Styela clava: one gene and its partners. The protein of the gene in region 2 purifies or fractionates together with the protein of the main gene of each other region. This does not show direct contact. Links are inferred from orthologs where the notes say so. Each region holds a gene or a part of one and is shown on either strand. Other genes may lie near its edges.

Region 1 (7,844 bases), on a different chromosome or scaffold from region 2:
ACAAAAAACAGAAAACGTCAACTCATTAACATGATGTATCACAAAACGCTAACAAAACAATAATATTCATCTCTGTGAAGCAATCCCAGTAGCAGAAATCCACCTATTTTTCACAAACCGTAAATCAGCCGTTCTAACAAAGCCCTCGTACCAGAAACCTTCATGAATACTAACTGCGTCAACCAACTGGCAGGAACTAAATAATTAAACATAAATATTCACTTCCACACTTCCTGGGTCAAGGGTCATATTGATCACTTTAAAATGATAACTAACGTGTGGGACAGACATAGACGCTCATTTAACATTTGGGCCATGCTTGTTCAAACATAAATCTATCTCAGAAGATTTTAAAATATTTATCACTACCTCAGGTATCGTTTCAGGCGAAAATATAAATTATTCAGATTTTTGACCAACGAGGGGGTTTCGTCTGTTTCCAGATTGTGATTTAATAATGCATGGGTTATTGCGCAATATCTCATGTAAATCTGTTGTTGTTGTTTATATTGATGAATCGTTTCTCCCGGGATTTTCATATCCAGCTTAATCATGTAGTGAAACACGACAACACGTCAAGTCGGTTATAGTAGTTATAATCTTGCATATAATTATTCCCCGAAGGACTGAAAGTGCGAACCTGGTAATCAAAGGTACGCTTGGATTGCAAGTGTATTCCTAGGCTTAGCACGATGAACCAACTGCCGAGCCTCTGAAAATTCAAAGATCACCAAAATCAAATAATTTAATATTCAAACAAATCCAAAACCAATATCCTGTGTCCGAAACATCAAATTGAACTGAATATCACCAGATTGCATCCCAAGAAAATTAGAACTTGTTATGCAGGGCAGAACTAACAAACTTCTTGTAATTATTATGAAAATGGAGAATGTTTATTTAACACTTCTTTTTTGTGCAGGATTGCACCAAGAGATTTAATTAATCTAGGACGCTTTGCACGAGAGTTATTTTCTCTCTAGAATTACAAATAACCTGGGTTCTGTTTTTTCTTATGAGTTACCCTACATTTATAAGTGCAAATCAGAATATCGAATCTAGAGGATTTAATAATAAACAAAAGGATCTGATAACAGGATCCTATTTATGTGACTATGTGACAATTTTCACATTCCAAATACATAATTTATCACATCAAAGGCGGTTTCTTGTTGAGAACTTTCTCATCCCAATAACAAACCATTCAAAGCTTAAAAGTTTAAAGTTTTTCTACTATATGTAGGCTACTGTGAGAATTTACAGCACAAATGATCTACAAAAGGGCCTTCAACAAGCCCTTCGCAAGACGTAGTAAAATTAATAAGAACCAGGGATGGAAAGGTGGTTTAAATTAATAGCCTTTGCTATGATGAAAACTAAGCATAAAAGCACTTCATTTTTAATAAACCCCTAGCTAATGACACAGGCGACCAGCACTGTAGCTTTTGCACAGATTGAATGTGTCCATGTATTGTAATAATACTAAATCAGTAAAGATATAATACATATAAAAAGACATGAAATTTCCTTTTTCAAAATAAAAAAATTCCCTCCTATTGTACGCTTTTCATTTAAAAAATACAGTTATGCTGGGATAAATATCAGTCTATAAAAGACAAAAGTAATACTACATATAAATACAAGATAAAATTCTCTCTTATAAATTTCCTTATCATTTTAGATGTATTGCTGATTGAATATTAAACCAAATCCTATAAAATATTGGTTCCCAAAAGTTACTAGGTGCATAGTTTATATATCTGCTGAAACGAGTTTAGCAAACATGGGTGACTTTATAATGCATAAAGTACAAATTAGCTGTAACAAAATTGAGTTTTATTTGATGAGTAGCATTTTTGTTATGGAAGTGCGCCGTGAGTTTTTTTCTGTGATTATTTGGCGCTGCACGACTAAAAGTTTGGGAACCGCTGCCATAAAAACACAAAAACTTTTTTCACTACCATGTACTACCCCCAACTCACCGGCCAAAGTATTATTAGTCACACATTCCAGTTCATTCTTCAATCCCCTTGGTATTTTCTGCCGACACAGAGCTGTGGGCGAGACTGTTCGTTTAACGATCGGCATGGTAACTGGGAATAGAATGGAAGAGAAATTAGAGAATTAAAATATAAATGAAGGATTAACCAGTAATTGAATATATTTTTAGCTGGTGATAAAATGAATAAACAGATGAACGGTAATTCAATCGGTTAACAATATTAAATAAATAAGCAATTAATCAATTTTGAATATATGGTTAATAACCGGTAATAAACAAATAAACAGTTAAATGGTAATACAAATGGATAATCAATATTAAACAAACGGTTACCAACCAATATAAAAAAAATAAACGATTGATCAATAAATGAATGGATGGTTCATGGTTAACGGTAATGGCTAACCGATGTTGAATAAATAATCGGTAATGGCTATTGAATGGTAAATGGTTACAAATAATTTGACTGCTAACTGTTATCTAGGTGTAATACCCTTTTCAATTAATATCTCCAGTAACTCCAGCTGCCAAGCCTTAGATTTTAAAGTTTTCTTATCGTTTCTATATTGGCAAAATAAGGAAGCTGAATAGTACTGACAACCAAACGAGAATATCGGTCAGAGACGGAGGACTTATCGATCAAAAGTTAGGGGATCCCCCAAAACAGCGCTCTTACTCCATAGTGACACCTTGTGTCCCATCAACTAATGCCCATCACTAATTATTACCTCGCTAATTATACGACATAATTCATCCAAAATCAATAGGCTTCTGGTCCGACATATGATGAATGCACATGCAAAATTTGGAGCAGATTCAATCTCGTTTTCGTGAGATATCGCGTGCATCTAACAGACAGACAGACATACAGACAAATACCTATCAACATACTTACCGATTAAAATCGATAAGTAACAATGAGTCGACAGTTTTGTAGGCTCTTTAAAATAATAAAGTAAAATACAAACTCACCGGTATTTGTTCCTACTTCTGAATTTTATCTTAGCTAAGTTATGTTAAATAATTAGTAACATCTAAAATTTAATAAAAAAGGGTTTATTAAAAGCACATGAACAGTTGTGTGAAATTTGTACCAATCTATGTGTAAAATCAAAAATATGTCTTCGACTTTCACACACTCTAGCTCTGCATTAAATACAAAATAATATGCAAATGCTATTTGAGACATTATCAATCACCAAAAAACGCTTCAAACTTTGCGATGCATTTGAATCTAAACTAAACCAGTATGTGAAATTATATTTATCCAGAATTACAATTTGAACTATTGTTAACCCAAGCATGTCCTTACAGCACTGGGCACCTTCTATTAAGGTGAGAATAATCTGACCAATCATGCAACATGGGCACCTTCTATTAAGGTGAGAATAATCTGACCAATCATGCAACACTAATTTGTTCGTGAAAGGGTCAGGATGAACATGTCAATGTACAATATATACTCAGGATAAAAATAAAAAAAACAGTATGATGAAAGGAGAGCATTTGGAGCTCCAGAAGTATGTGTACCAATATCAAGGTAACTAATTTTGTTCGACCACTTTACATCAAGTTGCGTAAAGGGATTGAAGCCTATGGGCAGGGGATATATTCACTTGGGTAACACAGACAGTCCCTGAACTCGTAATAAAACTAAAATAAGGAAAATCGGAATAAAATCATGGCCTAACCCTAACCTGGTACACATACTATGGGAGTGCAAATACCCTGTGAACAGTACCAGGTGACTGAAAATAGCTTGGGTTTCTGAAATCCTATTTGATAATTTTGTATTGAATTTATCAAGAGTAAAAATAGGACTCATAACATTTGACATAAATCATGATTTACCTGAATATTTAAAAGATTTTTTCCTAAAAAAGTCTGATTATCTCAAGTTATGAAAATAGTAGTTTCAGACAGCAGTGCACAGCACGTTTAAAGTAAATTCCTAAGGCACTTAGTACTATTTTGATATTCTAGATTCTGGCCAGATATGCATCACTGAATTTCCATATTGAAGGGGTCGGAATAGTATTGTCCTTATCATTGAAAAACATACAAAATATCATAAAACAGATGGTTGAAGGATAAAAAAGGAGGGGGAATACCCAGTTGAAATTAACCAGCTGGATAGAAGTGATCGTATATTAATAATAGTCCTTGAATCATATCTTGCAATCCAATTTGAATATTTAAAATGAATTTTTGGTATAAAATCTGTAACATATGATACAATTTTACTGCAAAAACATCAGATCAATACAAAAAAAACAGTAAATTTCAATGAGTTCAAAAATTACAAATTATTCAGCTGAATCAGCTCCCATCACCCCGTTTACCAAACCAGGAATATTTCATTCGACCTATTTTCTGAAGGCACTAATGCATGCTTTTGAATTTTTAAACCAGTCCCAACAACAGAACATGTTCAGAATCCAAAAAAATTTTGATCCAAGACCACAGGAAAGTTGAAAATTTGATTCAAGCTCCAGTACCAGAAAACATTGCCAAACCACACAGCCCATCCAGTAAGAACATTTGTAAGGCTCTATACAAGCAGCCATTGACATTTAACGATATGAGAGGAGTTACTCCTATTCGAAAGACTTGTTCCTTCCAGTTTGGCATTGGCTACCTAATTTATTACACCCTGGGTAAGGTGGGGGGGAAGTAATTTGGACCCAAGCTAAGTAATCTGTGTTGCCGACCACTAGGTCAACACACCACAGAAAACAGTAATTTGCTAGTTTTCTAATTTCAGAAATATTAAGGTTTACTTCATGATACTGTGTGACTTCAAATCTTCAAAAAATAATTTAAAATGAAAATATTTTGAATATTTCAAAAATTAATTCAAAATATTGAACACAATAAATTCCAAATTGATTCGAAAATTCATCGCTCCTGAAGTATGTTCACCAAGATGGCGCACAACCTGAACCCTAACCTGGTACATATACTATGTTCAGGTTGTGCGCCATCTTGGTGCACATATTTCTGGAGCTCCAAAATTCTATTTATTTTGGACATCCTTGCTAGTGGCTGCTATCATTTGGCACCGAGGCGAGCAAAGACACTAGAACTGGCCTGAGCTGCACCTTTAAAAATCCCAGCAGAAGAAGTACTGGACACAGTGTTACTTGAAATAGGCTTCTTAGCAGAAATTTTCTCCCGAATGTCACCGGTCGATTTGCGTTTCAAAGTTGCAGGTTTTTTCTTTTGTCCGACAACTATTAATTTTCTTTTAACAGCTGGAGATTCCTCAGTCGCTTCTTCGGTTTGCTTCGTTGTGCTTGTAACGATATCTCCGAGACGATCAAGTACATTAGATGACCTTTTAATCCCAGTTTTTGTCGTTTCTACATTTCTCTTGATTAAAACTTTGGTTGGTGATGTCGTTGTTGCTACGGCAACAGGTTTCTTTTTAATTGAAACAACTTTCTTTGCCATGGTGACAGTAACGGGTTTTTTAACAACTTGGGGAGGGGACTTTTGCACTCCAAGCCGATCGAGAACACTCGTTGACTTTGCCTTTTTAACGATGAGAATTTTCTTTTTTGTTGTCACAGGCGATGACGGCTTTTTCAATATGCCAGCGTAAGGGAGTTCCTCGCTGGGTAATTCCCCTCCAAGCCGCTTAAATATCCCGCTACTTTTGGAAGGCGATTTGTTCGGTGAATCGACCCCTAGTCTATCAAACACCGTCTTTCTTGGGTCAAAATCTTCAGCAAAATTTTTCGGTTTTTCTGCATTTTCGACAACAATTTTAGGAGAATTTCTACCAGAAGGTGAACGGCTATTAATGCTATGGTTAATCATTCTTTGTGCCGGTGACGATCCCTTACTCGTACGATTTTCAAGAGTCTTAATTCCGTCTGCAAGAATCTTCGAAGAAGCGTCACGCTTTGTTTGGTCATCCACGAACTTGGCGTGCTTCATAATCGCCATTTTATCCCCGACAGCTTTTATTCCGATGTCGGATAAAATATCGCGATCCAAATCACCGAGCATTCCTTTCTGTATTCTGTGAAAATAGAAGAGTTATAGGTGATGGTTATTTATTCAATGAGAATAGGGGTGTGTGAGAATTACTTTACAGATCTAGAGACATTGTCTCGTTTCAGAGGATTCCACTTCACTGATAAACAGACACCACTTCTTCCAGGGCGTATGGAGTGGACAGCGGACAGACAGTTGTCCCTCAGTTAAAATACATTAAAATGAAGTTGTGCAATAAACTAAGAAGGCGCAATCTAAAAACATCATCATTGAATTCCTCGGAAAAAAAGTTTTACCATAGAGCTTAAGATATTTTTAGCAAAAAACAACAATTTTGGTCACATGGCGATCGGTCATCTTACCTGTGATCTGAAAACATCACAGCGTACTTCGCACTTTGATCAGCTGGAATTCCAGCATCTTTGAAGAATTTAACCCAACTGGCAGATGACGACGCCATTTTAAATAATTAGTTAAATCTGATAAAAATATATTCATATTGTGTTTTTAATCTACTTTGCCAAGTGCCAACTTGAAATTCTAAAATTAAACAATTATCGGTTGATAAGCAAACAAATTAAAAAGGATTGCTACACGCTGAACTGAAATATGGGGTCTTCAGTCTGACTTTTCAGGTACCGCTGTACTGAGGTACCAGCAGTTGGTAAATACCGGTACCAGAATATGACAGATATGAGATTAACCCCTTGAAGACTGAGTATCAATCAATCAATTTTATTTTTTTGTAGTTTGGTCACCCTGACATAAAACAAAACAAGAATGAAAGAATGAACAAAATGCAGAGAACCTGAAGAACGGGCATAACTCACGGACAAAGTTAAAATACATACAAGTACTGAAAACAGGAAGAGCCTGCCGTCCACCAGAAGCAGTTAAAGAACACAATAAAATAAACATAGGCTACACCAGGGGTCGGGAACCCTTTTGGTTGAGAGAGCCATAAAAAGTACATTTTTTCAATTGCATTTGGTGCGAGCCATAGATGCATTTCTTAACTTATCAGACCTGAAATTTTTACTCAAAAGTCAACACATAATATGATGTCAATATACATTAAAAGTGACTTCTGATGCTGCATGTTGTCGCTGCGGGCCTTGAATGACTGTTCACATGCAGCACAAGTTGAAATCAACGATACTCATTTCCTTTCTTTCATTTAGGCATTCCCGTAGTATTTCAAACACTAGCTTTACTAGTCCGATCTGTATATGACAAATACTGTATAACCAGTATGTACAAAAAGCTTTTCTCGATTGCTCCGCGACTCTATCGCTTTGTGATGTCACAAAATATGTTCCAGAATCCCCTAGTTTTGTCACAATGCCTACCGTATCTGGTAATTCTCTTACATGCGTTGGGCGTGCCTTTACAAACGTATTGGCAATTTTTTTGCCAAATGTGGCTATAAAAGAGTTTGAAATCTCGTAACAATAGTAAGCATAGCCTCAGAATATTAGATTTTTCTGGGAGCCATATGCCGTCACTAAAAGAGCCATAGGTTCCCGACCCCTGCGCTACACGATATAAAATCAATCCGGCAAAACTTTTATTTGCAAGTTGAAGTTCCCATTGTTTTGTAATCATTGTTTATTTTATCACCATACTGCCATATGTACAACATGTATTTCCAATATCTGAATGGGTGGTTCACGTAACTGCTGGTCGATAACGGCTTCCTCCACCACCAAGTCCATGCTTCCGAAAACAAACAACATAACTAATCCCATACCCGACTTGGAATGGTAAACGGACGAGAGGCCGTGGTTCGCCATATGGATAAGCCTTTGTATCGGCTTTCCTCTCCTCCGGGATAAATATG
Region 2 (8,108 bases):
GATATCTTTAAGTTGATGCTGATAATACTCCAGCACTCCAGGAGATCCATAATCGTATCTTGGCAACTTCAATATTGGAGGCATAACTCCCATCAAAGTTGTAACATACTGTAATATTGTTCCCTGAAGCAGGCCTTTTACAATTTTCAGCAGCTCTTCAATAACCACTGCAATGCCTTGATATCCCAACAAAACGCACATGGTTGTGAAATGTTCTGCTCCAACATATCCTGTATACAAACCAGCCATTTCACGATAAGCAGCATTCAACTGTTTGCTGCCAAAAAGATAGTGATGCCCAGCATTTGGTGGTCTGTCCCTTTGAAGATCTTGGGAAAATGTAATTGGCGTTCGAACGAATCTGTTAGTAGAACCATTGAAGCAATAATTTGGTAGAAAATCATAGTTGAGTTCCCAGAAGACATGGAGAGTGATGCGTCCATACGGAGCCGAAACATTATGATTCGCTTCTCTCACCATTGCATCAAAGCCATCAAGGGTCAAATGCTTGCTCAGAAGCTTATGGGTATGCCTGTTGACATCCAGCAGCATTCGTAATTCCATAATACCTGTAATATCTCCACTTTCAAACTTACTTATTGCGAGATCAATGGATTTATGCAAAGCCACCTGAACACGCTGAGTTATTAATCGATTCAGGTCAATGGATCGTCCAAGAAGTTGGACATGACGTTGCTTGAGAAGAGTCTCATATCTGTTAGCAGGTGGGTATGGTATTTTAGCAGAGCAGTGATCCCGGAAACCAATATTCAATAATTGTGAAGCAGCCAATTGCTTAAAATAAGTGAAAATTTGATCAGAAAGTTTGTAGACAAATTGATCGAAACATAAATTGACTTCGGCTTCTACCTCATCATACAGAAATTGCTTCTTGAATTTTGTCAAGGCATAATAAGCACTGTCATTGTATAAATCTAAAGAATAGAGGACATATTCCATCATTGAAGGTTCTTTTGTTTCCAATATATGATCAGTCAAGATCCAAGGTAAAGACATTTCAATGGGAAATTGAATTCTTTTTCCCATAGTGAGCTCCAAGAAAAATTCTCTGTACCAAAGCTGAGATAAATCACAACACTCAAGAAGAGTTTCACTCAGCCTAAGCAGAGATGAGAAGAAAAATGATTCTTTGTGAAACTGTTCAATTGCTTCAATAGTATGAGAATCAAGAACGGTTCGCAATGCTTTTTTTGTTCCACTTTTTTCAGCGACTAAGGATTCCAGCATTGTACGAACCATGTATAATTGAGTACTTGAAGGTCCAACATTTCTACGAGGTACATCAATATGAAAACCGGTCTTTGGATCTTTTTCTCCTTTCAGGGCAGGATCATTTGGAGGCTCAAATCCTCTTATCCAATCAGCGCATGTTTCTCTAACAGAGCTTACAATGCTCCGAACATGATTCTTTTTCTTTTTTATAGCTTGCCGTAAACATTCTCTTAATCGAAGCTGAACAAAATCTTGCATTTGCGAATAAATATAACTGCGTATGGCATCTGCGAAAACACTTTCCATTCGAACCATCAATACTTGAAGACCTTTTATCATAGCAATGACTTCAACAAGAGCATATTTCTCTTGGCTTGAATAATTATAACGAGTTGCTCTCTCGTACTCCTCTGCCTCATCTTTACACTCAGGATTGGTGTATTTATCAGTCGGATGTACAAGTTTCCAAGAATAGACTTCCATGACATGAGAGCTCCATTTTGAGAGCAATTGTAAACCTCTGAGCGCTAATTTATACAAAACATAATTTTCTTCATCCGTTCGAGGCTGATCTCTCTGCGTCGTAGTAACGACTTCATTGTTGCTGTATTTAGCAAGTTCGCTTGTATATTTTATATGATCCTCACGAATAGCAACAAGCTGTTCTGCCAAGTTGTATTGCGCACTCGAACTTCCAGTGCTTACTGTTGATGAAGCACAAGACCACTTTGATTTATTATCTTCAAAATCGGACATATTTTGTATGTAGCTCGCTAAAGGTATTTGCATGTCACCATAAAGCGGCACAACTTGAAGCTGTTTAAAAAATTTATCTATTTTGGTGAGGTGAAGTTTCTTTTTGTCCTGTAATTTATATATGTTGACATCTTTATGAATATCCCTGTTATCGAGGAGGCACAATCCAAATCCCATAACTTTAAGCAGCATGTGTTTTTCACTTGGGAGAACATAGCGTTTGTTTTCATAATAATTCATACTTATGTTAATAATATCACACAACAGTTCCTCAGAGTTAGGGATGCCAGACAAAGATAGTTTAAGCGTCCCGGTTATTTTATCATGGTTGGCCAAGAACATGGATAAGTTCTGTGACTCTTGGATTGACTGTGGGTCTGACATTTTTTTCAGAAATTGTGCTGCTCTTCTATAAGAAGAGTAATCATTTTTTACACTGCTTTTCATATTTTTGAGGGCATCAAGAACAGCAAACATATTGATAAATTTACCAAGTGTAAGAAGATATGCCTCGGAAACAAAATCTTTTCTTCTTTCTTGATGGCATAAACGCTTTACTTCTGCACAAAATTTTTCTACAGCTCTTTTTTGAAAGAGCATGAAATTCATCAACTTTCTTACTTCAGGCTCCAAAACCTGAACAGTCTTTTCATAAATTTCTACTCGGTTTGCTTGTTCATTGGACCTTACCTGAGGAATAGCGCGCGAGCAACTACGCCATGTATAAAGCATTACTGCATATGTCTCTCCCTCTTCCAACATGGCATTCATATCTGAATGCACAGTAGCCTCTTCAATATATTTTGCAACACCAGTCACAAATGCATTTCTGTCTTCAAAATTAGTGTCAAAGTTGGCTTGATAAAGTAATGTTGACGGCATCGGCTCGATGCATGGTTGCTGATCAGGAAGCTGAAGATCTTCGAGTAAGTCCACATTGGACAAAGCATCTTCAAGAGACACATTAGCTGTCATTTTGTTATAAAATAGGCCTCGAAATACTTCGAAAATTTTCAACCCATCTGCATTAAATATTATTAATAACCACAAGCAGCCTGTAAATTGAAGATTTTCATATTACTGTATTTTCTACAGTTATCATAAGCCAGGCTTTTTTTAGGCAGATAAATGTAAATGCGCCTGTTCATTTATAAAAATCTAGATGAATTCTATTCAAATGTATCGAATATACGGTATTTGAATTGCGTTGAATCATTCATTCATATTATAAATTACTGACGCATTCACCAAATTCATTCTTTCCACACATTTATACAAAAAAGAATAATTGCAGAAAATTTATCAAACACATATTACTAAATTGGGCAAATATGAATTTTCCTTGCTAAATGCTATATCAGTATTAAATATGGGGTTTTAAGACAAAATGGAAAGTTGAAGTTTTATTTGAAAATATTACAAAGATATACCAAAGTGCATAGTTGAATGAATCAATAGTCAGCAAAATTTTCAATAAAAAGTTACAGAAGTTTAAAAATCAAAAATATATTTTCACTCATTTTTTGCGAAGAAGCTTTTCAAGCTTCGCCTTTTTGGGTTGAAGCCCTCGATTTGCTAATTTTAACAAACGCTTTTAGTGGATACTACTCCAGTAATCTGCAAGTGCAGTTTTAATGGCGACTGACTTTTTAACTGCCACAAACCAATGAGCTGCTATTACCGCGGCAGCAAATTGATAACCAATGGCAGGTAAAATTTTGCTCCCATAACCACGGAAGGTGGGCCGTAACGACAGGGCTGTCCCTTATGGTGATAAATATTGGGTGTGTTGGAACATTTTTCCTATGGATACAGTTTTGATGGATTTGGGGTTAGGGTATAAGTAGATATAATTCCTCATGATAAATTAAAATCTGGTGCATTGTTTTGTGAATATACCGTTAATACTGATTACTGGATAGCGCTATAAAACCATGGCGAGAGCTGCCGCGGTTCGTTCGTGGCAGGAGCTGCCATGAAGTGGTAAGAACTGCGCCTCGTAATCTGGGAATCAGATTGATAAACTATTGAGTTGTGTATTAAATTAGTCTTACAACTAATGAAAAGAGTTAGGTCTCACAAATGGGCGGCAACGAACTTGCTTAATGTTGAAAAAGCCAATGGACACCATGTTGTGGCAACTTTGGATAACAGGAATTTTTTTGTGTTGTTGCACCGGATCAAATAAGTCAGCTGTTATAGGGACTATTAGAATAACAGAATAAAACCAAAGGAAGGAATTTGAATGGCCTACCATACGGCCATATGTCAGTACAGCAGTATGTAGTATAGCGAAAGTAGAATGTAAAACTATCTAATGACTGAATGACATAAATTTGGTTGCAAAGACAACGTTACACCATTTTTCTGTTTTTAGAAGATTTCATAGCAATAATCCGATTCGACGCTGTGCAATGCCGGTGCAACCATTTTCTTCTAGCACAGCTTGGAGCTAAACAGTTGGGCATTATGAAGCTCAACAGTCGAAAAACATCAATTTGAAAAAAGAAAGGGACCTTGAAATGAAGTTGAGTCTGCCCTCAATTTCGTTATGTCAGTGTTAAGATCACTTCCTAGCTGAATATGAGTCAATTACCCATACTATTTGCAATTTACACCATTTCTGTTTTCACCCAAGTGAACTGATAGACTGACGAATTGCTAGATCCAGTAATCTGTATATTGCATAACGATATCACCTGGCAACAGCCGCTCATAATTCGGTTTTGAAGTTATAGATTTCACGTTTAATGGTTTTCCTGGACTCATAAAATACATACGCCTAAAAGTAGGAATTAAATACCTGCACCCTAACAGCGGAAACAGTGATAAATGGGTTAAAATACCTATGTATGGCGCAGCAAATAAACAAGGGGCGTGGCGCCACCAAATCTAGAAACGGCATCGCGGGTTTACCCTTTGCAATCGTTTCGTAATATATGAGGTCACCACCGCATGATGTCACTAGCAAGTCATCATCAAAATCAAAGCCTAGGATCAAAATCAAAGTGAATTTGATCAAAATGATGTGAACATATGCTTTTCTTTTGAATTATTTGACTAAATAATTTTTTTTTTATGAGCTGCTAAATTACTTGTTTTATTTTTTAATTTTATAATCAGTTTTAATTTAATTTCACCAACTATTTCATTGCTCTAATAGTTAAATTCGAAATAAAATTTTCAGTGTACTGGCTAACCAACCCGATACCGATATGGACTGGTGACCGGAGGATAGGCCGTGGTTCGCCACGTTGTTGAACCGCCTTATCGGATTTCCCCATAGGAAGAGATATGTTGATCCTACCCTATTAGGCCGCGAGCCGAGGCCCTGAAAAACGCCTAGAAAGTGAGTTTCGTAGCGCACATCAGGTAACTACCTGAAAATGATTTTAAAATGTTCCTTAAAAATTTAGTAACAAATATTGCCTTGTTCCCACTTCCAAAAGTTGCACGTTTTACGGAAAAGACGCTTTTACTACAAGAAATATGTGCTACGATCTGTCCTATATTCTCTACATTTTCGGCACTGAACAATGACTTCTGCATGACGTAACAATTGAATTAAACCAGCTGTTAGCGAGCGGATGAATATTAGTTATTTCTGCTCGACCTTGCGCTGAGTTGGACAGGCTTTCCATAGCCCTGTTTAGTTATTATTAGTTAAGTTATGCTAAGACGTTGTTGAAAAATGTATAAGTAAATTATTAAACACTTGTAGATCCTTACCACGGATATGGGCCGTGAGACGAAACCATGAAAACGCCCAGAAAATGAGTTTCGTAGCGCACATCTGGTAACTAAATAAATTCTTCAGTTTTGTGTGAAAACGAACATAATGAACGCATTACAGCTTGTTCCACAATCCTGGTGCGAAATTGAATATAAGAGGTTCCCGGAAATTCAATAACCATAAGTTTACAACGCATACATAAGAACTATACAATTCGAGAGCCCTACAGCACACTAACACAAATGTATTCCTGTAATGTTTTGCCTGACCAAAATCGGACTTCCTCAGTCAATCATAATTTATTAGGTAGATTACGAAAAATATGGCATACATGTAACCAACAACAAAAAATACTTTAATTGTGTGACAGGAGTCGGGAGTGACCTCGAAAGCAGCGACACCAACAACGCCGATTCACATTTGAGAATAAATTTTATGTAATAACCACAAGCAGTTTACAACAAGAACAGCATAAAAAGCTACATCCATTTTATGGAAGCTATCAAGTATCAAACGTATTTATTTTTAAGCAATGAAGTCACAAATTAACATCGTGAGCACGAAAACACAAATAAATCAGTTATTTCTCACTTAGAAATTTACCGCAAAAGTCAAGAAAATTAAATGAATGTACAATATGTACATAACACAGTGAACAGAAATATTACAACTTACAATTAATCTTTTTTTAGTTTATGTGGTTATGTATTTGAACAAAGGCAATAATATTTCTAGAAACAGGACTACGACACTAACAAATGTCCGAAAAAAAACAAATGTATGATACTTATTAAATCAACTGTAATATCTAATTCACTTTCTTCTGAATTGTTTTCGAAATCCACTATCTCAAAAATCGACTTTTCCTCTATAGGTGTACTGTGATTTCTGCAGTCAATACAAAAACAAAAATCTGTGCAATTTAAGTTGATTTTGGCACACTTTCATAAATTATTTTGACTATTTTTCTTTGCAGTTTGCCAACTCAAGAACTGATTTGAGGGCCACATGCTTCTTCAGTGAATCATTGTTGGGTGGAGAGTATAATCCTTATGTTTGACAGTGTTAAATAGACGTGCCCTGGTACCGTATCATTTACATTCTTCATATCTTCTTCAAATTCCTCAGCTTTATTTATTAATACCTCGTTAACCTCAAAAGATCTTCATAGTCGAGGGAAAAAAATGAATTGAAAATCTCAATGAAGTCTCCAACATGAATTTGATGGGCAGTTCCAATTGCAGAAAAGTGCTAAAGTATTTCAATATGAATAGCCCATCTAAGCTGTTTGCAACTATTATGATTCTCATATACCTTTAAGCTTCAAGACTTCTTGTTTAATCCATTTTATAGCACTGATAGCAGCAGGGATCAGAGCCTGCGTTAGGTCGGATTGGTGGAACATTGCCGTTTTCTTTTGTAGTACAGTATCTAAAATAAGGAAGAAAATAATATTTGGAGCAGCATGATTTTAAAAATACCCCTAAATACTAACTAATACCTTGAATACATAATGCATTTTATCTGATGTACTAAATGAGCGTATATATGCTCATTGCATGTTCTACAGTCCAGCAGTGTTTGCATACCATTACTAGACTATATCTACACTAAATTTTGATATATCACAGTCTGAAATGTCCTATGACAGTATGAGTATGGACTATAGACTATATTTTGAAACATCAACTGTTTGTCTACAACTTCATTTCTCACCTCTCAATCATTTCCAATGCTACCTTTCTTTCCACTCCGGCATAACTTATCATTGCTTCCCAGGTTCTTGTCGACTCTATGAATTTAGATTTAGACCAACCGACATTAGTAAAATTGATTAATTTCTTCTCTTTCACACAACCATGCATTACAGAAACAGCCATTCATTTCTATTTCCAAATATGCTGTGGCCTATATAGTAGTATAAGTCTGCTGAATAGTCAAGAAGAGTCATTAAATTAATCATAAACATTTCATGCAAGCCAGAAAATATCGTTGTTTGTGACATATTACAGTATTATTCTAGGTCTGTAGGTCTAGCCTTCCTTGGAGTTACCGCACCGTACCTATTTAACAACGTCTTATGAGCTAGTGCTCAACTAAAATTGCTATTTATGGCAAGGATATACAAGTGTTTAATATCTTACCTATACTTTTCAACACCTCCTTAGAATAACTGGACTAATATAACCGGTAACTGAAAAAAACTATGGAAAGGCTACCCAACGCAAAAGCGATCAGTTGAGTACATCTGATATTCATCCGACCACTGGGGATCCACCTACAGCTGACTAACTTGACTGTTACGTCGTGCAGAAGTCTGCGTTCATTGGCCCATGATACCGGAAAAGCAGAGAAAATAGGACAGATGGTAACACATATTTATTGT
Region 3 (7,483 bases), on a different chromosome or scaffold from region 2:
TCATTGATGACGTCATAACCGTTTCAGAAGACGAAATAAAACATGCCACACTGCTTGTCTGGGAAAGATGCAAATTAGTTATTGAACCGACAGCAGGGGTGGCTGTGGCCGCTGTTCTTTCTGAAAATTTCAACAAAAGTTTGTCGAAATTTTTCCCAAACTCAAAACCTAAGAATGTAACAGTAGTTCTATGCGGAGGAAATGTAGATTTCGCTATTTTACCGGAATTATTAAACTGCTCGTCTTAGGATTATAATTAGTTTAGGAATATGATTCTGACCTGAACAGCAAAAAGTAGGCGCCGTTCCGACTATGTGGCGCAATTGACGTAACTTTTTACGTTAAACTGACGTCATAAGTGTAAAAATAAGGTTATACTGCTTGAAAATTCCATGACGCGCGACCCAATCTTCCTTCCAACATAGGCTTCCTAATTCGGTGCAAATAATTATTTATTTTTATATTTAAAGTAATTGTGCGATAATTTTTAGGTTTGCTTGTATCCCGAGACCTCAACTATAGGTGTAAGGATACTGTTAAATAAAACACTTTTCTCTTATTGACGTTTTATCCTTTTCTCAAAACAACAAAGAAACTAGATTATCAAATTGCTTTATTTCTCTGAATAATATTAATAAAAATAATGAAAAATAGGAAAACCTCACAAAATATAAAAAAGACTGAATTATTATTTGCTTGATTAGTCGAGCGCTAGATGGTTTACAAGAAGCTCAGTGGGTGCCCATATGAAATAAAAAACGTCGAAAAAAATGCTTCGAATGTTGTAATAAGTTGTGTAGCGTAGAATATCAGAATACAAATCTTTACGAATATAAGTCCATCATCCTCAGTGGCCGCGAGAATCGGATAAGAGCTGATTCGAGAAAAACATTCCTGGAATATCAGAACCTATCCAGGGAGCCCTTCCTCCCTTTTTAAATGTGAGCATTCTTCTGTATCATTCACTTGCTTTTTAGACTCTCAGGATACTTGAAAACTATGTGTTCGGGCTAGCTATTTCCCGCTACCTGCTCCGGTCTAGCTTGGGAAATAGAATTTTCAGAACCCAGTTTCAGATTTTTTTTACGACGATTGAAAGTCTAATACATGACTCCGAAGAGTTTGAAAATAAGTCCGCTATTAGAGAAAAACATGACAAACAAAGTCCATTTAGTACATGGTGACCCAAAGAAAAACAGGAGCCAGGTCATTTGGAACATATTCTAGTGAAGTCGTTCTCAAACGATGGGGCGCGCCTCACAAGGGTAGCATATACAATTTTTTAAGGGGGCGTAAAGCTAATTAAAAATATTTGTTGAATTTGATATTGCTCGCCCTATTTTGGATATCTACGCTTCATCCATACGTATTTTCAACGTGTTTTGTAAATAAAACATACTTTCGCCTTACTATCTGTTAGCTTAAAAAGTTTGAGAACCACCATCATGGAGAGAACATAACATCAAGTATAAAATACGCTTGAACTGTTTGTGTATGACTGTACCCGAATGTGTCAGTAATATGGGACGTAACGGACTACAATACCGAGGAGGTGATTCGGGACATACACTAGAGATAACATAACTTTAGTTCAAAGCGTCCTTGATTACTAAAACCTTTGGATACAATCATTCACACACATAAGTTCAAGTGGTGCATAAATTGTCTTCACTTTTGTAGAAGGGCGCTGTTCTTTTATGTGGAAAGGGTTACCCTGCAGTTGTAAACACCATTTTTGTCCATTATAATAAACAAGCACAAATCACGTTGCCTTCTTCTCAATTCTTGCTTCGATATAATCAATTTTTCGCTCTAGCGAAGACAATTTTTGATTCAAAAATGTCAGACGATTCCTGCACGAAGCATCGAATAAATTTAGAAATGTCGTCATCTTTCTGATGCTACTCGTTACTGCTTCAACGTATTCGCGATTATCCCAATCTTCCTGGAAAGAAGAACAAAATTTTATTGGACATGGAATGTATTTTTGGATAGTTCATTGAATTCTTGCTGCAGTTGTTTGGGTTTTTGTTTTTTTGAAAAAATCCTTATGCTCTACCAATTGGTACCAGATTCCAGTACTTATAGATGGGAGAATTTGGAGGGCTATCATTTATTTATTCATATATTCTCGGTGACCTGGACTTAAAAAAAACTGGGTTGAGGCAAATCCTTTTCTATCGCTCGAAAACGCATGACAAAGCTTTGCGAAATTTTGCGGACATTGAGGTGACCATATTAGTCAGAGCTTGTTTATACTAGAACAACTCAAAGTACGGAGCTGCCAAATAATGGAACAGTTTAAAATGACTCCCTCCACCACTTTTATTACCTGTATTCTCTGATGTCGACTTTCTTTCGTTTCATTCGAAATGTTTTCTTCGTACAACGACATAGTTTGATGGATGGTTGGAATTGGCGGGTATGATTTTGTGGACTAGCAAGCAATACTGTTACTTAGTTTCTACTAGAAAGCAATACTGTAAATACAATATATATATCTTAGGATATGAACAGACGTCTATTAGTAATAACTAATATCAGGCGCGGCGGTGTGGCGCATCGTAATATGCGCTATGAATACGCTCACCACCGCACCTCTGATTACTCTGCGTGGGTTCGCAGGTTCGAATCCCATGCGGGATGGTTATGTGCGAGAGGTTTGCTGGACTCCTCGCCGCCGTAGGGTGGTTCACATAACCAAACTAATCCCATACTCGACATGGAATGGTAACCGGACGAGAGGCCCTGGTTCACCATATTGTCAAGCCGTCTTATCGACTTTCCTCTCCCCCGGAATAAATATGTAAATCCTAGCAGTCGATCCCCATGTCCATCACCTCGCACAAGACATAATATATGGCGTGAGTGGTGTCAAACCGAAAAAAAACAAAAAAAAAAACAGTGACTTTCCCTATCTTATTGACTGCCACTGATACGTGATCTAAGGTTGTAGAAAAGCCTTCACTGATCTGATAAGAAATATATTTTGTACGCACTGAACAATACCCTGAACAAGCAGCCACTGCATATTGCCATTTACAGACATTATCAAAAACTTAATTAAACTTAATTGTTGTAAAAAAACACCATTCCAAAAATAAACCAACTACATCAACTATGGCTGCCAGTGTAGGACGTTGTTCTGAGCAAATATCAAAAAAGAACAGAGCCACTCTGTTTTGTAGGTGTCCTCACTCTGAACGCGACTGATATAAAAATATATTGACTTTTAGTTCTATAACCCGAAGTTATACAGAATACAAGACACATCTCTCATTTTGAGAGTTCACTTCAAATCTACAGGCAGGTAGCCACTGATACTTGATCCAAGGTTCTATAAAAGCATACACTAATATGTAAAAAGCTACCATACGTTTATGAAGCGTTTTCAATCTGAACAAAGTTCCAGAAAATCAGCCTGATACAAAAGATACTGGGTTAGCCTTGGGCACTCTCGCGGGTCTCGCGTAGTTTCGTGCTTCAAGTACTTCTAGTGGTCATAGCATATGAATTTTTTCACATGTCCATTCTAACCCCGCCTGACTACGCCATCCAAAAATCACGTTACTACGATGTCACAATCACGTCATAGAGCTAGGGCTGGGCATTTCGAATCGAATAGTAAATTATTCGAATCGGTTCCGAGCTAAACTTCAAATCACCGCCATCTTGTTTTTATCTTTCCGCCAATGGTCGAGGTGAATTCCCTAAGTTTTTTTTCATTGGAGTCATATTTTTTCTACGAAATTCTAACATATGACTATTTCCTGTAGTGAGTTATTCTGCGTGAACGCTCAGTAATCTATCTGAGGGATTTATTCTATGTCTTCAGTAATTCATTTGTTGAGAGGACCAATTACTATAATAGAGTCGCTTACAAATATATTTTCAAGTATTTTCGATTCGATTCGAAAATATTATTCGATTCAATTCTGAAATCACAAGGTATTCGAAAATGCCCAGCCCTACATAGAGCTTGCCAAAGTATACTTACAATCGCCCGAAATGGCGAAGAACTCTACATTACATGTCCGAAGGTCATACTGAATACATTGCACATTTTAGACAACTCCACCTCATTAATCGTTGACCTCAAATCTCACTTTAAATTTACATAAAAGCATCAACTAATACGTGATATAGACAATCTCACACTGGTACGAATACACTGGTAGTAGGGAATTGGTTTCGGACATCCGACTGAACGATGGATACTACATTACATATCTGAAGACAAACAGAATACCTCGCGCATGTCATGTCTAATTCTACAATCCCACTGGGTATACGGGCAACCGCAAACATCATTCACAAACCATATGGGAAAATGCGATACTCAATCAGCAGAAATCCTATTCTATTGTAAGTGTTATAGAGCGCGTTCATTACATCTTCACTCTTAAAAAGCTCCTGACAAGCATAAACGATAATCCAGGAGTCGGCAACAGGTGACCCGCGAGCCACAACCTGGCCCGTCAAGCCATTTAGTGTGGCCCTCATCAACATTCAGATTTATCCCCATCAAGCTTAAAATCTTTATCACACAGTTTATATTATCAGTTGATACAAACAAACTATGCAATAACTCGAAATAACAATTGCCTATTAAAGTGTTGAATAAATAATATTTCGCATTGTGAGAACTTTTAATTCGTCGTGTTTATGGAAAAACTAATTGCTTGTATGACCAGCTAGATATCTGAAGTTGGGTAAATGGCACAGCAATAAAAATGTTGCACACAGTATAATCTGATAGTCTTCGTAAGGACTAAATATGGTCTTTGAAGGCACCGATTAGTTTTTTCTCCTAGCTGAGGGATGTTAAAAATCGGGAGCTCCAGAAGTATGTGCACGAAGATGGCGCAAATCCTGAACATAGTATGTGTAGTTGTGCGCCAATACTTCTGGAGCGCCAAAAATCGTATAGCATGTATATAAGCATCTTGTCAACTGATATTTACTGGCATATCTGTAACATAACTATTTCTCACCATAATCTTTCTACTTGCAGTCGAGGACTCGCAACCTTGCTTTTAGAAGACTCGTATAATCTCCAAGTTGGAAAAGGAATTTAAAGTAAATTCAAACATGTCTCAATTCTTCCCTTGTCTACAATTGCATCTCAATTATTAATTCATCATAAAACGCTTTCAGCAATCCTACGCGTATCCGCACTGATACTGTTAATAAAGTTCAGTAAAATCAATGCAAATTTATGGGTTGAATTAGTACATGCAACACTTCGTTTAAAATAATAAAAATACTGCTATTCTAAATTGACTGAGTGTATTTTTTTATGTATCGCGACAGTTTAATGCCCGGGCTATACCGTGCAATACAAGTTATTTTTGCGCTTATTTTTAACAGTATTTGGAACCCGGTCACTCCAGGAAATAATCTTAGACTCGATGCTGGGATACAATGCACTATAAAAAAAATATAGCAGTTTTACTATGAATTGCAGGGTAATTTAACCTTTTCAATTAAAAACATGACAATTTTTTACAATTTCTGAATAAGAGAATTGGACTTAGTCATCATCAGCTGGGCTCTATCGGCTTTTTCCGATGACTAAAGAACAGGCGGCCCGCGGGCCACAACCCGGCCCGCCAACCTGTTTAGTGCGGCCCTTGTCAACACTCAGATTTTTCCCATTAAACTTAAAATCCTAAAATGACAGTTTATGTTTAAAAAGGCGCTCACATGAGTAAAAATACATAATGATTTTTGTTCTTCTCGCTGCGATAAATCTTTCGCTGTCTTGCCCGGTGCCTTCATTACTGTAAGGCTAAGCGATAGTTGAGACATAAATTCTTACGACTTTCCAAAACCAATTTGCACCAATCTTGATTGATTTGCTGAAAACCGGACTTTTCATCAATAATCCTTTCATCAAATGAACCAACCGAGATAGATGAGAATGTGCGCGTAAGCAAAGTAAGTCTGTAAAAAGATTCTTCAAGTTATTGTTAGAATTAAGTGGCCGCGTTTATCTACCTTGTTCGGAGCAAAAGGCACGATTAAGCGTCGTGTTACATCATTTTGAAAAAAAATTGCCCCCCCCCCCCAATTTTGGACTGGCTACGGTCTGGTACTGCATTCTTGCATATGGATTGAAAGCATAAATTCCCGTAGTATGTACCAGGTTAGGGCCTAATTTTATTCCGATTTTCCTTATTTTAGTTCTAAATACGATTTCGGGTCTGTTTTAGCCCACTGAACATACCCCCTGTCCATAGGTTTCAGTCCCTTTACACAACTTGATGTAGAGCAGGTGAACAAAATTAGTTACCTCCATATTGGTACACATACTTCTGAAGCGCTGTAGGCTGAGATAAAAAGGTGGTTCCCCAGAAACCCAAAATAGCACAGTTTTGTAATTTAAAAATGATAAGTCACGATGATTAGTCCTATCTTATTCACACCTCGAGTCTCGCCCGCCACCTGCTTAATACGAAATTGTCATACAACATAAATCTATATAAATCCTTCACTGACACGATATCAAACACTCAGCAATAGTATGAAAACCTTAAGGAAATTTGTCATTCACCTCAGCACAGATTCAATAAGCATTGCTGTTAAAAACACGCAGAAGCATGACTTGAATTTATGAGTTATATTGTAATATAAGGTTGCTTATACTTTAAAAATTCATAAATGGGGAACACCTGAAAAGTTTGCTTTGCATTTGGTTAATGTTAAAGGAAACTTAATCTTCGTGAGTCATTTTTAGTTACAACGAATATCGAGGGAAATTTTCGATTTTTTTTAATATTGTGCACGTACGCTAAGAACGGAAATGCGTCATTTGCAATACAGATGGCAAGAAGGCCGGTGGACGATTGGTAACTACTGGCAACAAAATGTTGAAAATTAGTTGCATTTCACTGTATATCGTTTAAACCAGCGATTCCCAATCGGGGCCAGAGCAGTAGGAGGTCATAATGCCAGACGCAAAACTGATTTTTCTTTTTCTTTGACAAGAAAACTCCCTTGAACATGAATTGTTTGAAAATAATGGTATTTGGAATCCACCAATCAAAAAACACAAGTTTCATCATATATATATTTCATTTATTATTATACACAATACAACATAAAACTACTCAAATCAATATTTCCTCCACAAAGCACAACAGCAACATGTTTCCCCTCAATGCGAGAAAACTTTTTCGACAACACAGCAGCCACGGCCACACCTGAAGTAGGCTCGATAACTAATTTCAATCTTTCCCAAACTTGCCTCGTTGCAGATTTAATTTCGTCATCAGAAACGGTTATGACGTCATCAACAAGGTCACGGATGATTGGCCACGTCAATGTATCAATATTAACCCTTGCCCCGTCAGCTACGGTTGAAGAATAGTCCGTCATTTGGGTTAATTCACCTTTCTGCTTCGAAATTTCACAATCGTTAGCGGTGTCAGGTTCTGCGGCGATTATTTTTACCGCAGGATTTATTGCTTTTGCCGCGATG

Evidence for each region.
Region 1: the proteins of cytoplasmic FMR1-interacting protein 2-like (region 2) and actin-binding protein WASF3-like purify together in Drosophila melanogaster (affinity purification with mass spectrometry; 3 studies listed by BioGRID, with this or other methods). This does not show direct contact. The link is inferred for Styela clava from reciprocal best matches to the Drosophila melanogaster genes Cyfip and SCAR.
Region 3: the proteins of cytoplasmic FMR1-interacting protein 2-like (region 2) and putative protein BRICK1-B purify together in Drosophila melanogaster (affinity purification with western blotting; 4 studies listed by BioGRID). This does not show direct contact. The link is inferred for Styela clava from reciprocal best matches to the Drosophila melanogaster genes Cyfip and HSPC300.

Annotation. Positions count from the first base shown.
Region 1 is NC_135259.1:22,312,722-22,320,565, forward strand, and holds the start of actin-binding protein WASF3-like, read right to left. Parts: upstream 3,096-7,844; 5' UTR 2,975-3,095; intron 2,094-2,974; 5' UTR 2,089-2,093; coding exon 1,983-2,088; intron 1-1,982. Other genes in the region: uncharacterized protein LOC120337403, read right to left, coding at 5,054-6,029, 6,367-6,464.
Region 2 is NC_135257.1:9,569,013-9,577,120, reverse strand, and holds the start of cytoplasmic FMR1-interacting protein 2-like, read right to left. Parts: upstream 3,041-8,108; 5' UTR 2,965-3,040; coding exon 1-2,964. UniProt on the Drosophila melanogaster protein: Plays a role in guidance and morphology of central and peripheral axons and in synaptic morphology. Also required for formation of cell membrane protrusions and for bristle development.
Region 3 is NC_135263.1:816,581-824,063, reverse strand, and holds putative protein BRICK1-B, read right to left. Parts: upstream 2,477-7,483; 5' UTR 2,396-2,476; coding exon 2,333-2,395; intron 1,946-2,332; coding exon 1,763-1,945; 3' UTR 597-1,762; downstream 1-596. Other genes in the region: serine racemase-like, read left to right, coding at 1-248; serine racemase-like, read right to left, coding at 7,087-7,483.